2 linked regions of the Styela clava genome follow. The protein of the gene in region 1 binds, or shares a complex with, the protein of each later gene. Links are inferred from orthologs where the notes say so. Each region holds a gene or a part of one and is shown in the gene's direction. Other genes may lie near its edges.

What was found.
Region 2: E3 ubiquitin-protein ligase RNF113A-like (region 1) and armadillo repeat-containing protein 7-like share a complex: the UniProt entries of both Homo sapiens proteins name them as parts of the minor spliceosome. The link is inferred for Styela clava from reciprocal best matches to the Homo sapiens genes RNF113A and ARMC7.

The regions. Positions count from the first base shown.
Region 1 is NC_135251.1:22,359,434-22,363,191, reverse strand, and holds the start of E3 ubiquitin-protein ligase RNF113A-like, read left to right. Parts: upstream 1-1,592; 5' UTR 1,593-1,737; coding exon 1,738-1,758; intron 1,759-2,262; coding exon 2,263-2,394; intron 2,395-2,971; coding exon 2,972-3,082; intron 3,083-3,644; coding exon 3,645-3,758. Other genes in the region: protein SDA1 homolog, read right to left, coding at 84-182, 755-859, 1,365-1,448. UniProt on the Homo sapiens protein: Required for pre-mRNA splicing as component of the spliceosome. As a component of the minor spliceosome, involved in the splicing of U12-type introns in pre-mRNAs. E3 ubiquitin-protein ligase that catalyzes the transfer of ubiquitin onto target proteins.
Region 2 is NC_135259.1:3,197,562-3,201,319, reverse strand, and holds armadillo repeat-containing protein 7-like, read left to right. Parts: upstream 1-1,026; 5' UTR 1,027-1,087; coding exon 1,088-1,162; intron 1,163-1,365; coding exon 1,366-1,482; intron 1,483-2,158; coding exon 2,159-2,391; intron 2,392-2,731; coding exon 2,732-2,879; 3' UTR 2,880-3,757; downstream 3,758-3,758. Other genes in the region: transmembrane protein 14C-like, read left to right, coding at 1-38, 232-295. UniProt on the Homo sapiens protein: As a component of the minor spliceosome, involved in the splicing of U12-type introns in pre-mRNAs.

The DNA.
Region 1 (3,758 bases):
AATATTTAAACAAAATTAATTTTATCGAATAGCAAGCGTATTTAATTTTACATTTTGATAATCAACATTAAAAATATACTGACCAGTCTCATTTCATGGTTTATCGAGAGTGCATGTTTCTGAAGAATTTCTTGTAATTGGTTGGGAAAATCTTTTACCAACTCTCGATAGCAATGAGCTACCTAAATATAAAAAATAACAATTTAACATTAGTATATAAAAACCTCAACATGCCAGCACATCAGATAATGATAGAATTGAGACTGGATTACTACTGCTTTACCAAAAAAGCAACTCCAGGATGGTGATGACTGAGGATGTATATTTGAAAATTAGAATTACAAGTCATAATTCTTTCTAAGATAAATTAAATCTGTTGGGTGCAAGTCCCTAGTCCCCAAGTTTCAAATCAAGTCAGGTCACACGGGTCATCTGATCTCAAGTCAAGTCAAAGTTTCAGCAAATTTTAAACTTTTGAGTAAAAGTCACTGCACATCGATTCTGAAAATTTCATAAATAACAGTAAAATTGATAGATATGATTCACACCGACACCAGAAACTTCCATTTTGAGTTAAAATAATGGTCATTTCGAAATCAAAATTTGGATTTATTCTTGTATTGATAATATTTAATTTGACATCATCACAGCCTATGTCGAATTATCGCTACAACAAGCTAGTGAATACAAGATTTATCGATATGCAATATACACATAAATGATAAACAAGAACATGCAAAAACAACCTGCTGACCTGGCCGATAAATGTTATGAGTTCCGATAGATCTTTCGATTCTTCATTTGGTTGAAGAAGAAACAATTTCATATTGGATTGATATCTCCGATACTGTTGCTCGAACTGTTAACATAAATATAATACAAATATTTGACTAGATATGTATATCCTGATGGTATATCACAACAAATTTAATCAGATCAGCTTAAAATTATCCAGCATTGTAACACCACAGTACCCAAATCTGCCCATTAATACATTATTTTGCGATAAATACAGAAGGTATTAATGTCATGATGTGCGGAATAGACATTGTAGATACAGTACAACTTCATTTTGATCTTTCGTCTACATCACAGAACATGAATAAACAAAAATAAAATACACAGACAATGACGACAGGAAGATCGGGAGAATGGGAAAAACTAGAGAAATGTTTATAGCAAACGCTGTAACATTTGTGCCAATTCAACCACACAAGTGAAAAAACACATGACATGGATCAACACAATCATACTGAAAAGAATAAATTCATAAACAGCATACCTTAAAACGATGAAATAAAATTCACGGGCGAAGCTTAGGCCGTCTTGTAGATACGATAATTTATTTATTAAAGTACTCTCACCTCATCTTGATAAGAAACCGGATCTCTTTTGATTAAATTTTGAAGCTGCGGTAAATTATATGGAAGTTGATTTGTTCTCCCCATCTCTGCACCAATATTTCAAATCAAAATATCCAAAGGAGCTGCCGATGGGCCAGTAATTCAGCTGGGGAAGTGAGATCACACAGAATCAGATCAGCTGTGTACCACGTGCCACGGTCACTTGAGTAAAGTGTGACATCATAATAGTGAAAACAAATTTTGTTAATTTTAAGCTCTGCAGTAATTTCTCTGAAAGTTGTAAATCAAACGTTGCGAAGCGCGGGTTGCGATGGTTTTGGTCAAGTTTCAGACAATAAAACTTTAGAAAGTGTGTAAAAGAAGAAAACTAAACATGTTCAAGAAATCCGGAAAGGTCAGCTTTTCTTTTTTACGAATTTTACTTTAATTTGCCAATCAAGGATAAAGCCTTAGTTGCGATTAATTCTAGTTTTCAATCTGAGAATATTGTCGCTTTCTACCGGGTTCAAGATGAGTCTTCCTATATACTGATCATTTTCTTGACCAAAATTTTTTTATTACCTGAAGCACATATTTCCATACAGCACTTAATTATAATATATGTCCATTTATCCAAGTTCTCGAATAACTCATCTAAAATCAGAAAATGTTTTTGGTGTTCTAAATGTTTCTGAATTTGGTTACTCATTTATGCTCCGAACTTGTGTGACTCAGAACTCAGAAGTGTTTTTCTAACAGTTATAACTATTATTTTTAATCAGTTATATTAGCAATAGGTGTTGTCATCTTAAAAGCATAAACTGTACAAAACGCTCAGATTAGACGGTTTTACTAAGTTTTGATTCAAAAAAATGTAATACACGAAAACCTAATTCTTTATAAAATTTTCACTTTGCAGTTTCGTGGTAGGAATAGAAGAAAGAAAAAAGACAGCGGTGATGAAATTGAAAAAAAAAGTAGTGATGAAGAAGACCAGGAAACTGTTGTGAGGAAAGAGAAGAAGAGAAAGATGAATCCAATGGTTCAATCGGTGAGTAGTTAGATAGATCGGTAATATTTTGTCATTGCCCCGCCGTTCATTTTCTGCTTTGTTTTATTCGATTCTGTCTGTGTTGGGTTAGGATAGGACATCGCCCTGCCACCTTTTCCTGTCTTACCTATAACTGCCCAGAAATTTGGTGTTGTAAATATATTCAGATATTGTTCTTGTATCACAGTATGTCATAGGATTCATCTCTGTACAAGAAATTATCGTCATGTTTTTATGAAGCTATTCTATCACAGATGAAGCACAATCGATACGCCAGGTGGAGTCGGTGGAGTCTGTATAATTGAATGAAACAAAATGATCATTCATTCATCATCACTTCCATATAATTTACAATGTTGGAAGACCCGAGTCCCTGACACAATCACCATTTATATAAGCCACGGAAAGCCGTCTGAATGAAATTGACTCGGAGTTATCAACTAAATGCCAGCGAGACCCGACTCAGTAATTGACTTTGGACTCTGATTTTTTTTAATTTCCCGTAATTCTTTTATGTAAGGTTCTACAATTTAGCAAGTGAAACCTTTAATATCATAAAATGTGTTTTTATCTACAGAGTGCGAAGTTCACAAAAGAAAAAGTAGATTACAGTAGCAGTAGTAGCGGTGAAGGTTCTGATGACGATAAAAATAAAATCAGTGTTTCCTACAAATCATCGAAGACTGCTGTAAGTTGTTTTAAATATGATTTGTGTATTTATTTCATGTCAGCCATTGTCAAAGAACCTACTTAGAATGTCAAGTAGTCGCTACTAGGCTTGTCCATAGTAATAAATTTACAACAACTAACTCGTTTTCTTACCAGTTTACTATATACCTGGCTGAAAATTGAAAATGACCCCTATATACCCCGGTATAAATATGTAAATCCTATCCTATATTTGAATAAAATTCAATTCTTGCAGACTTTTTTAAGTAGTACTTTCCTACCTTTTCTGCACTATAATTAGTTGATTCAATTGGGCAGGACTTCCATTATAATTATCCTGGTAAGAGGAAAGACGATTTAATCATATGTCTAAATATCCTCTCACACATAGTCGTCTCCCACAGGATTCATTCAAATCTGCAGTGTAATCAGAGGTGCGATGACGAGTACGTACTCATTTCTTAGCACTATGCACCGCTCCCGTATCAGGATATTTAATCAAGTACACTCTTTTGCTAGAATGACAATTCCTTTGTAAGAAGCTTATGATTCAGTCATTTTTTTTTTTAAATTTCACTTAGAAACCATCAGGACCTGATGATATGGGAGCAACAAGGACTTATGAACTAGACACAGAAAAAGACAGGGATGCACAAGCCATATTTGAACGTGGACTTGAAATTCAAGACAAAATT
Region 2 (3,758 bases), on another chromosome or scaffold:
AGAAAGTTTATGCCTGCCGGACTTGTTGCATTATTGAGGTGAGATATTATTAGAATGGTTAGGTTTAGCTAGGTTACAAGCCCTCATTTGAACAAAAAAAAGTTTTTACGTTGAACAATGAATTGTCAGCCAGGACAAATTTATTCGAGTGTGCACTATTTGTTTATAACACTCATTCTGTAATAATCCTCATCTGTTCATTCTCAAATTTCTTCTTTTTTACTATTTTAGTGCTGGAATCCTTGTGCGGAGTATTTGTAACCTCACAACTGGTAACCAAGGAAAAGTGGAATAATCACCAACATTGTTCTCCATTTTACTTTTTTTGCTGCTATAAACCAGCTTTCTCAATATAACGAACCAGTGAGAGAAATGAGAACTATTTAGATTATGAAATATATAAGAATATGATGGGACTCTGAAGTGTGCTTCTGCTCTGTTGCACCCTAGTGACTGAAACTAATGATGGAATATCTTTTCAATTTGTTTTCTATGATTTTTTGTTTGTTATTTTTTAAAATTATGATTGCCTTACAGCATTTTTGTCAATCATGTCATGAATGAATTTTTATGTTCTATTTTGACAACAATAGTACAATACATTCCTGTTGAAATTTTGTTTGTCATGTTCCTTCCTATTCATGAACCCTGTCACAATTGAAAATGTACTTTTAGTTGCTTTACTATTTGCTATTATATGGTGTTCACTCTAACCCTGACACGGGCCCAATCTGGACCGCCTGATGAGCTCGAGGAATTTGTTGAGATTGCAATTAAATTTAGTGTTGGCACAAGGCTTATTGTTTTCCACTTTTGCTTATGTAACACTTTTACGTCACACTTTTATGGCCCGCTAGTCTAGGTGGTCAAAATTTTGGCCCCTGGTCCAAAAACCTTGCCCACTCTGACCAATGCTGTGGACAACTAGAATATCAGAGCTAATGTAGATAGGAAACCATTCCCTGACATTCGCTTGATTCCAATTCATATACACTAGAAATGGATACTAGTTAGATATGTTTCTAACCTGGACAACATTGTTTTAGCACAGTTTACTTGAGTAAAAATATTGTAATATTTTCATGAAATGTTCACAACTCATAAAAGGTTACAACAAAGGACTCGACCGAAAAAAGATTTGAACAGATTTGACTATCTGCAGGTGATATCCTCATATACAATTGTGTTTGTTGGTAGTCGTTTGAAATTAGGATAGGATTTATATTATTGTGACTGGGGGATTGTATTCTATATTTGTTCGAAAGGAGTTTAGTAACCTATATTCCAGAATGTCTGATAATAGTTAAATATATGTGGAAGCTAAAATTCCTTGGACATATGATAATGGGATTAATTATTTTTCAGGCTCTCGTAACTGAATTTCAGCAAACAAAAAGTGAGTCCGACAAAGAACAAGTTCTAGCGAATCTTGCTAATTTTGCCTATGATCCAATAAATTATGAATATTTGAGGAAATTGCAGGTATTTTAAACAACTGTGTGGAATGAAAATCCCCTTGTTGAGGAGTATATAGCATGCTTTAGACCAGTGGTTCTCAAACTTTTTAAGCCATGCCCCCTTTTTGGAATTTTTCAAGTCTCACGCCCCAGCCTGAAAAATAATAATTGACTACAAATAATTAAGCTACAAATAACTGATAGTAAGGAGAAAGTATGTTTTTTCAAACAACACATTGAAAATACGTGGATGGAACGTAAAATAAGGAAATATAAATATGCAAAATAGGTGAGCAAGATCAAATCTCACAAATATTTTTATTTTAAATTAGCTTCACAGCCCCCTCAAATAATTGTCTACGCCCCCTTGTGGGGCGCGCCCCACCATTTGAGAACCACTGCTTTAGACTTTTCCATTTATTCTTCTCCTATTCAATATATTTTGGCTTAATTGTCGCAGCAAGAACTACGAGTTTAGATCGCCAATTATCAGTCCATATGACCTGGAAATCTGGAATGTTTTATTTTCATCAAAGGGCAGGCCTCTTTCATGAATTTATCGCATGTAAATCTCAAATCAGTTTGAAATTTACTTCCCTCTGCCAGTTTAGATGGAATTATTGATATGATGAAATTCAAATGCCATGTTCTATTATCCTAATCCAAGTGTAAAAATCTGAAAGCGCTCATTGATCTTCCAGGTAGTCGATCTTTTCCTCGATTGTTTGACAGATGATGAAGACATTAATTCAAAAATTTCAGAGTTTGGAATTGCAGGACTTTGTAATATAACGGCAGATCCTAAGTTCAGGGATTATGTTCTGGATGGGGATGATAGTGTACAACTTATCATGAGATGTCTTTATAGTGTTAATACCGAAACTGTTCTTTCTGGAATGACAACATTGATGCAGCTTATTCTACCACAATCAAGGTAGGTAAGTTATTGATCCATAATTGGACTCAGATTGGCCAAGATGCTCAGTGGTATTGGGCATCATGATAGGAATACGCTTGCCACTGCACCTCTGATTACACTACATGGTTCACTGAATCTGCATCACTTGGAGGATAATTATGTGCAAGAAGATGGACTTATCGCTGCCATAGGGTGGTTCAAGTAATGCTAGTTGGTTACTGCTACCTCCGCAATCAAGTCCATGCATTTGAAAACAGAATAACTGGCTAACCAGAGCTCGAAATGGACTGGTAACCGGATGAGAGTCCCGCGTTTGCAATAAGATCAATCTTGTCGAATTGTGTTTCAATTACAGGAACTTGATTATAACTCCTGCATTGGTCAAAAATTTGAAAGTTTTCAAAGAATCGGAGGATAATCGAATCTCAAATCTTGCCACTGTATTTTTGGAGGATTACTGTGTGAGTGAAAATAAAGGAAGAAAGAGGTCATTGAATACCTAAAGCAAAATTCGAAGGGTTCACCTGAAGAAGGTTCAGTTGTTAAATGCTGTTGGACATTGTCATGCATTGATCTCAAATGTATAGCAAATCCAGTAAAATGTGATGGTTGGCTTGAGTATACAAATGCTTGTTTGAAGAAAACTGTTTGGATAAGGATCCCCTGATGAAAGTACTTCAGTATTTCTCCGCAGTAATACTATCGGGGATCTAAATAGGAGCGACTGGTATAAAGACTGCCCTCAATTCATCCGAAATGGATGAAAACTTTGATTGTTAGTTTTTAGCACGTTGTAATGTTCGTTTGCACTCTTTTTCACCGATAGTTGTGCTTCTAAGGCAGGGCTACTCAACTGGCGGTCCGAATCCGGCCCTCCCGGGTATTCGTTTCGAACCGCGCCTTATTCTTTATTTTGGATCATTAGCCCCACTTTTTGAGTTTCCTTTCCTAAAATAACTTTTATGGATTTAAATATATATGAAAAGAACTATAACGCCATAATAAACAATCCTGATTAGCTAATAATCATTAGTCGGCCGAGGAAGTGCGTGTTTGAGGATGCCAAAATATGGAAATCTGGAAAGACCGGACCCAAATTTTTTTGAAGTTTTGTATGCGGATCTTCAGTAAAAATAGTTGAGTAGCCCTGCTCTAAGGTACCATATGCAGAGTGTGAAAGGGATTTTGGCCACATGTAGCTGACTCTTGTGACATTTGATTCCGAATGACTGAATGCATACTTCACTGTAAAATGAAATTCATATTAAAAAACACATGGGCCGGAAGTTAGTGTTTTGCTATTATGGATTTGATTATTGACGGTCGTGGCTTCTGATCTGTATCCCCCCATTTGGTGTAAATAAAACGATTTGGGATTTTAG